Linked DNA regions of Rattus norvegicus. The protein of the gene in region 2 binds, or shares a complex with, the protein of the main gene of each other region. Links are inferred from orthologs where the notes say so. Each region holds a gene or a part of one and is shown on either strand. Other genes may lie near its edges. The genes, in order: Prkag1 and Prkaa2.

Evidence for each region.
Region 1: the proteins of Prkaa2 (region 2) and Prkag1 are in contact, whole or in part, in a crystal structure (PDB 6B1U), measured with the Homo sapiens proteins. The link is inferred for Rattus norvegicus from reciprocal best matches to the Homo sapiens genes PRKAA2 and PRKAG1. Residues at the interface, in NP_006243.2 of Homo sapiens: Asp329, Asn330, Ile333, Met334, Ala337, Phe340, Tyr341, Leu342, His366, Pro367, Glu368, Arg369, Met370, Pro371, Pro372, Leu373, Ile374, Asn444, Val446, Thr447, Pro530, Arg531, Leu532, Gly533, Ser534, His535, Thr536, Met537, Asp538, Glu541; in NP_002724.1 of Homo sapiens: His36, Asp40, Leu41, Ile42, Pro43, Thr44, Ser45, Val50, Phe62, Leu64, Val65, Thr66, Gly68, Val69, Arg70, Trp75, Ser77, Lys78, Lys79, Gln80, Phe82, Pro158, Glu159, Ser160, Gly161, Asn162, Lys170, Arg171, Lys174, Phe175.

Annotation. Positions count from the first base shown.
Region 1 is NC_086025.1:131,856,457-131,860,862, reverse strand, and holds the start of Prkag1 (5'-AMP-activated protein kinase subunit gamma-1), read left to right. Parts: upstream 1-1,378; 5' UTR 1,379-1,394; coding exon 1,395-1,403; intron 1,404-1,447; exon of another isoform or gene 1,448-1,706; intron 1,707-4,406. UniProt on the Homo sapiens protein: AMP/ATP-binding subunit of AMP-activated protein kinase (AMPK), an energy sensor protein kinase that plays a key role in regulating cellular energy metabolism.
Region 2 is NC_086023.1:125,105,936-125,110,485, forward strand, and holds the start of Prkaa2 (5'-AMP-activated protein kinase catalytic subunit alpha-2), read right to left. Parts: upstream 3,076-4,550; 5' UTR 2,813-3,075; intron 2,631-2,812; 5' UTR 2,383-2,630; coding exon 2,289-2,382; intron 2,213-2,288; exon of another isoform or gene 744-2,212; intron 1-743. UniProt on the Homo sapiens protein: Catalytic subunit of AMP-activated protein kinase (AMPK), an energy sensor protein kinase that plays a key role in regulating cellular energy metabolism.

The DNA.
Region 1 (4,406 bases), on a different chromosome or scaffold from region 2:
GTTGAACCTCTTCCTGTGGGTGGCAGTAGGGTAGAGGGTGTGTGAGGCCTCAGACCCCTCTCTGGTAGGGAGCCGAGGGGATGAGATGAAGCTTCTATGCAGTTCTCTCCTGGGGCTGTGGGCAAAGGGCATTTTGTAATTAATATTCTCAAGAATCAGATAATCTGGACTGTAGAGATGGGCTGGATGGTGGCACATGGGCAGGCCTGCTGGAGGGGTAGAGCGGTTGCTGTTGTGATTTTAGGTTTTTGTTTTGTTTTAAACTTGGGGGATTGTGGATTGATGGGGGTAGGGAGATTTTTTTCTTTTTTTTTTTTCTGGCTTTTTTTTTTTTTTTTTTTAAGCTGCTTCCTCAACTGTTTCAAGCTGCAAATGTTTATGAGAATAACAACTCCCTACACACTCCCACAGAAACCATTGTAATTAGATCAGACAGTGGGAAAACTGGGCTTGCTGTCCCCAAAGCCACAGAGCTGAAAGGTCTAGGCATTAGTTGGGGGGTTGGGGGGGGAGATTGTCTCCTGTGAGTGGGGCTCTGGCTGGGGCTTGGGCCCTAGAACTGGGAACGGAGAAGGGGCAGACTTTGTAAGCATATGCTAGGTATCCGATAGTCCTGTAGAATTTAGTGAAGAAACCTTATACAGCTTTTAATTTTTATATAAACTATAACTCAGACCCACGCTACAAGGTTGGAATTTTGGTTGTTGTTGGTTTTTTTTTTTTTTTAAGTACCCCGCCTGTATAATTGCATCAGAATCCCACCCCCAACCCCGCCCCCTGTTTGTATTTTGGGTTGGTTTACACTTGCACATACTCAATTTTCAGTTTCTCCCTTTTACCTTCTACCCTCACCTCCAGGACCCTCCCCCTTCTTAAAAAAATAAATCGCTGACAAGTGTGAATCCCGTGAAGAACTTTATTTTGTGTTGTGTGTATCCTGTACAGCAAGGTTGGTCCTTCGTAACAACGGATGAAATGGTTCCCTTTTTTAAAGCGCTCTCTCTTCCTCCACCCCCAGCGCCCCTGTCCTTGGCATGTTTTGTATCAGCGATCATTCTGAACTGTACATAATTTATGTTGCGAGAGGCAAAGGGCAAGTTTTGGATTTTGCTTCTTCAAAGTTTGTTTTTAAACGATAAATAAAAAAAGAACATTTTAAATACAAAAGCGCCTCTGTCCCATGACCCTCGCCGTTAGCCAGATCTTAAGGTCCGGGAGAGCTGGGCGAGGAAGGTGATCCAAGGCAGGCTCAGCCACCGCCGGAAGGGTGGGTTCCCCGCCTTCCGCCCTGGGCCTGGGGCGTGACGTAGGCGGAAGTGGCGCGAGGCACCGGATGTGGGGCGGGGCCTACTGCAAGGGAGCTTTCCAAGCTGAGGAACTGGCGGGTGCTAGCAATGGAGTCGGTGAGTGGCGCAGGGGGGCGGCGGGGGGCGCTGTGGAGCCGGAGACCCCCTGCTAGGAGCCGGGGAGGGCCGGGCCCAGCTTGCCGCGGGAGTCCGGGACTCCCCTCCTCTGCTTCGGTGGGTGCATCTCCGAGGTCTGGGCCACACCCGTGTCCGCCTGGGGTCTGCAGTACCCTGAGAGACGAAGCGGGCTGTGAGCTTGGAGCCCACAAACACCAGGATGATCATGCCCCCCTGTTTATGAGTGCCTCCGGTTCTTTGAGAAGTTTGCATGAAAGCGGAGTTGTGATCCCGCTTATTTAGGTGAGCGACCCCGGCTTACAGAAAGCTCCAGGACCCCGTATATGCGACCGCTTAAGCAGTTCTGACATCTGAAAGAATATACTGCATCAGTGAGGTTCCATTACTTTCATAATGGAGTTTTCCCGTGAAGGAAAGAATGCAGGAAGCCACTGTGTCCCTTGGACAAGTTTAGGTCGTGTCCTGATTGGTGACGCTATGCATGCGTGTTGACAGTTCGTTCTTGGCGAGCAGTGTTGACCAAGGGTGGCAGATTCCCGCCAGCTCCTTACAGATGCTGTAGGTTATCTGCTACTTGTTTGACCTACCTCATTCACAGGAGCCTTTCTCTGCCACTCCGAAGGCCCTCCCATCGACTTCCTGTTCCATAGTTTTTTAACTAAATATCTTCTGTGGGCAGCTTGGGGTTTGTCTTCTCCCATTGTATAGCTATGTAATACTTGCACGTTCACCCTTAGGATTTTTTTTTTTTCTTTTCTCATTTTCTTTGAGTCAGTTACTTGGCTTGGAGCAACCCCACTCCCCACCCCCCAACCCTGGCACCTTTGTCTGCAGAGGAATAGTATAACTTGACTTATAAAAAAGAAAAGATAACAGTTGTAAAGCAGTTACCAAGCAAGGATTTCATTTTCTACAGAGAAAGTATTTTCAGCAAAAGTAGTCTTATTTTTTAACTTGTAGATGTATTGTTTACAACTTAAGTATAAATGATAAACTGTGAGTATAAAGTTTAAAAGCAACTTTTCTGTATGTTAAATTTAGCCCTTTGCTAAATTTAATATCTATTGGATTGCAGAGAGATGGAGATGAGAGGTATGGGGAAGGCTGTTAGTTAAGGTAGGTTGTAGTTAAAGTACTATCCTCATGCTACAGACACCTGAAAGGAAAGGAAGGAGAAATTACAGTGAGTACAGGCCCATGACTTGGTGATGTTGAAACTGGATTTTGGTCCCGGTGTAAGAAAAACTGGCTAAGAGCATTGTTTTCTCTCTCTCTCTCTCTCTCTCTCTCTCTCTCTCTCTCTCTCACTCACTCACACACACACACACACACACACACACTCTCTCTCTCTCTCACACTTTTTTGGAAACAGGGTCCCAGTAGGTAGCTCAGATTTTCTGTGTCAGTGTGGACATGAGCCAATACTCCCAGCTTGGCCTTTTGTAGTAATGGGACCAGTGGGAGATTTATGAGCAAGGAGGCAGGGGATGGTCTCAACAGCTTTCTGTGAACAGACAAAACCACTCAGAAAGTAAGTTTTGTTTGGTTTGGTTTTTATTTTGACGTGTGTGTGTGTGTGTGTGTGTGTGTGTGTGTGTGTGTGTGGTGTGTGGTATGTGAATGTGGTGTGTGTGGTGTGTGTGTGTGTGTGAGAGAGAGAGAGGGAAGGAGGGAGGGAGGGAGATTGGGGTGGGAGAAAGTGCATTGGTGCCTTGGAACAAATGTGGAGGCCAAGGACAATTTCTTGGAGTTGCTTTTCTCTTTCTACTGACGTAGGTTTGGGGATCCAACACGGGTCATCTGGCTTATGGGGCAAGCTCTTTTATTCACTGAACCATCTCACAAGCCTGGGGAAATATGTTTTATGTGGTTGGATATGAAGTTTTCTCCAGACGAGCTACTCCAGCTATCAGCTGATCAGAGTATAAAGCAAGGAGACGATAAAATGCAGAGCAGGGAAACTGAGTCAGAGAATGCCGGGCAACAAAGCGGACGGAGTTGGGGCAGAGCGTTTCTAACCTGTCTTACATGTAAGGAAGCAGAACTACCATCCCAGGCACTGGAAAGATGGCAGAGTTGCACTGAAAAAACAAAAAAGTCACAGGTTAAGAACAGGATGGGAAGACAGATATTCTCTATTATCTTATCAATAGTCTTTGTAACGTGTGGTTGAGACGCAACTGGAAGCGTAGATCAGGAGTTTGGAAAGTAGTTTTGTCTTAGTGTCAGAGGATCTAGCCTGCGTCTCTGTAATAATACTTCACACGTGTGTTGTACAGTGATATGTTTTTGGTTCCCTGAAGTGGTTTGTTTTGGGTGTCTTGTTATCGTTTTGAGTCAGGGTCTAATGTAGCACAGTCTAACCTTGAATTCACTCTGTAGCTGAGGTTGGTCTTGAACTCCTAATCCTTCTAACTGTGTCTCCTGAGCACTGGGAACACAGTTGTACACCACTGCCCAGAGTTCTCAGCCCCGTCTCATTAAAGGAAGAGGGGAGTGGCCCTAATTCTCCCACTCGTGGAGAAACAGGCAGGAAGGATGAAGTCACGTTTAATTGTTTCTATGGTGGGTTCATTAGTTGTGTCTGACTGTTTGCCTTGTCAACTTGATACAACCTGGAATCACCTGGGAAGAGAGCCTCAATGAAGGGTTATCTGTCTATATTGGGTTGGCCTGTGGCCATGTCTGTGGCATACTGTCTTAGTAACTGCTATGGGAAGACTTAGTCCACTATGAGTGGCACCATCCCCTAGGTAGACGGTTGTATGAGAGTGGAGAAATGAAACAGTGCAGCAAGCAAGCAAGTGAGAGTATGTCCATTCATTCCTCTCTGCTCTTGACTGAGTACTATTTGGCCAGCTTCCTGAAGTCCCTGCTGCTGTGTCCTCCCTACAGTGACCTCCCCACAGTGACCTCACAATGATGGGCTGTATCCGTATATAAGTACACTGTCGCTGTCTTCAGACACACCAGAAGAGGGCA
Region 2 (4,550 bases):
AAAGAGGGAGAGAGACAGAGGGAGAGAGACAGAGGGAGAGAGGGAGAGAGACAGAGAGACAGAGACAGAGACAGAGAGAGAAAGAGACAGAGGGAGAGACAGAGACAGAGAGAGAAAGAGACAGAGAGAGAGACAGAGGGAGAGACAGAGACAGAGACAGAGACAGAGAGAGAGAGAGAGAGAGAGAGAGAGAGAGAGAGAGAGAACACATGCATGGATGTTTGCTCATGCTCAGCCATCCCTCTATACTTACACAGTACAGGACCCAATCTCAGGGAACAGTGCTGCCCAGAATTTTTTTTTGGGGGGGGGGGGCTTCCCACTTTAACATGTGCACGAGCTAATTAGATCTAAGTAACTCTTCATTCAGATTCCCTTCCTAGCTAAGTCTTCTTTGTGTGCATTTGACATAAATAGTAACTATCACACCATACAGTGTTTCTTTAGGGAAGATCAAACAACATCAGGAAAACCCCCAAACAGCTCATTCCACCAGGGTTCTCCAAGAAAAAGATTTTTCTCGTAAATCAAAGGTCCCTTCAGTTCCATTTATACTTTAGGAAGCTGGTGGTTTAGAAGCAAAGAATATAACCAAATAGTTTTAAATTATCCCGTGACAATGGTTTGAGGAATCAGAGTTGGTATTGCACTCTACACCGAGAGTACAATAAATTTTTTTTCAAAAGCAAACAAAAGCATTTAGCAGAACATGAAAGCATAAACGGCTAAGTTATATAACTTACCCTAAATGGCAAAGCAGCCGTTTGCATAACTTTGTACTGCCAATCCAGCAAAGCAGTTCTCAGCAAAGATGGTGTCAACATCACCCATCAAATCTCTGGACCATCTCACGACTATCCACAGTTCTTACAAGATCCCGATTTCATAAGACTTCAAATAACTTTACGAACATTTTAGGTCTTTACAAAAATACCCACTTGGTGAGACCATGTGTGACCACCTTAATATAATCTGCCTAACTAAAGTCCCCATCCTTTCTTCCCCTAGTTGCCTTTCTCAGTAGGAGGGAGCATACATTTTTCACGTGTATTCTGATTGCATTTCCCTCTCGGAAAAGTCCCAAGAAAGCTCAGGTTTTGCTTTCCTAGAACTCTGTTGCCTGGAACAGTAACTCGCATGTGGTAAGAGCATTCAATAAGCAGTGTTTCTCATTGTACAAATGGGTATTAGATAGACCGAGAGGAGTTAATCCTCGCAGGAATGATGAGTCCCTGCCTTCTATTCAAGTCTTCACTGGAGGTTAAAATGTGAAAAATATGCCTTAGCATAAAATTCCCAGACTGCTTACCCACTATTTATTCAACAAAAAAAGCTAACGTTTCACTTTTAATTCTCAACTCGCTACCAAGTATCTTCTTAACAAGAGCTGGTAATCAAACCAAACCCATGTGACTCTTATTAACTAATAAGAAAACAAAGCAAAGTTTAATACTTAACTAGTAAGTGGAGTTGAAATTTCAAAAGCAACCTGTTTTTTTTTCCCCCCAAAACCCACAATTTGCCATCAAACAAACGCCTTGCCTAAGCAAGTCTGACATCTTGGGGACCCAAATTCCATTACCAAGGAACATTTTTCCCAGACCCTGACCCCAGAAGTCTTCCTAGAACCAATTTACACACACCAATCAACCTGCAGAGCTGGGGTTCCCCTAAAGCCTCTGCCCAACCAGCTGCATTCCAGCGTTTTCACACACCCAGCAGAGGGGACTCGCCACCTCTCAGCTCTAGGCATGCCCCTAGTCAACTCCACCATCAAAGGCCTGGGACAGGGAAGAATCTGGGGAAGCCAGGGGCCTTATCGGCAAGGCCAAAATTGGAGGACATTTTAGACCTCACCCTGAATCTGCCAATTCTCTGTGACCTTGGGCGTGCCGCTGAAGCCTCGGAGCTCGCGTTCTCTCACCTTTAAGGTGAGGACCGCACCCTGGCTACGCCACGTAAAGGATTAAGTGAGACCACAGATGCTGCTCCAGGCAGAGCGCTTGGCACCAGTGGGAGACCCACTCCCAATCCGCGGCGCCGTGACTACCCCATCCTCCCCACGCTTCGGGGCCCTTTGGACTGGGCCAGTCGCCCAATTCTGCAGACAAGTGAGCTGACGGGTAGAGAAAAGACAGGGTGCTCGCAGACACCCCCGCCAAGGCACAGCTCAGACCGTGGGTCCCCCTGACCCACGCCCCGGCTGCCGCGCCAGGTGCCTGTGCCCCGGGCTCGCCTGCGAGCGCTCCACCTGCCACCCGGCCCCGCGCCCGCGCCGCTGCACTCACTCTTCACTTTGCCGAAGGTGCCGACGCCCAGGGTGTCCCCCAGCACGTAGTGTCCGATCTTCACACGCCCGTCGTGCTTCTGCTTCTCAGCCATGTTCGGCGCGCGGCCTCCCCGGGCCGCGGGCTCTAAGCGCCGCCGCCGCTGCCGCCGCCGCCACCGCCTACCCACAGTGCAGCGGGCCCGGGGGGCGGGACGGGGACGCCTGGGGCGCGGTAGGGTGAGCGCGGCTCGGCGTGTGTGGACGCGAGCTGGAGGCGCAGAGCCCGAAGCGTCCTGAGGAAAGCCCACGGCGGTGAAGATGGAAGGGATGAGTCTGAGAGCGACCGAGGTGAAAGGAGAATCTGAAGAGAAGTGGGGGTGAGGGGGTGCAGACCATGAGACGTGCCTCAGGACAGCAGGACCAGGCGGGGAGGGCGGCCCTTCCCTAGCCCCTGGCACGCTCCCCCCAGGCAAGGTTTATTTGACTGGGAACGCTCTAGTCCGTACCCTCCTCAGATAGCGACCCCATTGTTTTAGAACTCACGCTTATTTTGTAGTTCCTTGTCACGTTATTGTTAGGTCGAAACCCTGGACAAACTGCCCAAGGAGACGCCTATCATTAACATATCAAAGATGACGCTGGCTGCCAGGTTCTCTCAGCATCCCTCAGTCCCTAACTGGGATAGGGTCCTCCTGCCTGCCATACCTCGACTCCTACCCCGAACTCTCCAGCCCAGGGACTCCAGCCCCTTCCCTCAGGTCCCCTGGTCCCTAGATTATTCAGCCATTTTGGCTGTGCTAATCTCTCAGCCCAGACCACCCACCCCTCTAGGCCTGGCTCCTCTCTTGCTCCCACTCCCCCTCTCTCCTCACATAGCCCTGCTCAGTCTGCCCATGTTCACCCTGGACTCTCCTAAACGTCCCTGCTTCTGCCTGTACGTTCGTTTATCTACAATAAGCCTTCTTCGTTGTGTTAGTTAAGGTTTTTTTTCATTGTGATAAAACACCATAGCCAAAAAACAAGTTGGGGAGGACAGGTATTATTGTTACACTTCCACAGCACTGTTCATCTCTGAAGGAAGTCAGGATGGGAACTCAAACAGTACATGGAACCTGGAGGCAGTCCCGATGCAGAGGCCATGGGGGGTTAGCACCGGGAGGGTGCTGCTTACTGGCTGGCTCATCAGGGCTGGTACAGCCTGGTTTTCTACAGAACCCAGGACCACCAGCCCAAAGATGGCACTACCTACAATGGGCCATTGATCACTAATTAAGAAAATGTCTTACAGCTTACATCTTATGGAGGCATTTTCTCAATTGAGGTTCCCTCCTTTCAAATAACCCTAGCTTGTGTCAATTTGACAAATGACAAACCAGCATATCCACTGTAGCCAGGAGCAATTATGTCCCTCCTTCTATTTCTTTTCTTCATTCAGTTATATAGACAATCGTGTTATAGGGATAAAAGACACCCTCTCCAGGACTCTCGATTCTAACTAATTTAAACAAAATTTCTCAATAAATCACAAACAGAGCCCTAAGTATATTTCAGCACTTGTGTGTGTGTGTGTGTGTGTGTGTGTGTGTGTGTGTGTGTGTGTGTGTGTGTGTGTGTGTGTGACTGGACAAAGGAGAAATACTAATATAGGAAATAATTCACATGTTCAGGTAAATGCAAAACACAGAAGGGATCAAAGAATTGTGGGAAACAAAAATGATGTAAAAGTGCAAATTAAAGAAATGGATTACTGAGGATGAAAGTAAAAAAATAGTAAAGAGAATCCAAAGCATGACCAGAGTATTAACAGTGGGCAAATAATTTATGATCAAGCAATCTCTTCCTCCCTGCCTCCCCCTCCCCCTTCTCTCCTTGCTTTACTTAATGTTGGTCGATCCTTCCATACCTGAAGATTATTTGCTTCCTGTTACAGGAATATGAAACTTCATACCTCCATTACTTCCATAGCAGTTCCCTGAACACATACAAACACTGTACTGGCTAGTATTGTGTGTCAACTTGACACAGGCTGGAGTTATCACAGAAAAGGAGCCTCCATTGAGGAAATGCCTCCATGAGACCCAGCTGTAAGGCATTTTCTCAACTAGTGATCAAGGGGGAGGACCCAGCCCAGGGTGGGTGGTGCTGTCCCTGGACTGCTAGTCTTGGGTTCTATAAGAGAGCAAGCTGAACAAGCCAGGGGAAGCAAGCCAGTAAGTAACATCCCTCCATGGCCTCTGCATCAGCTCCTGCTTCCTGACCTGCTTGAGTTCCAGTCCTGACT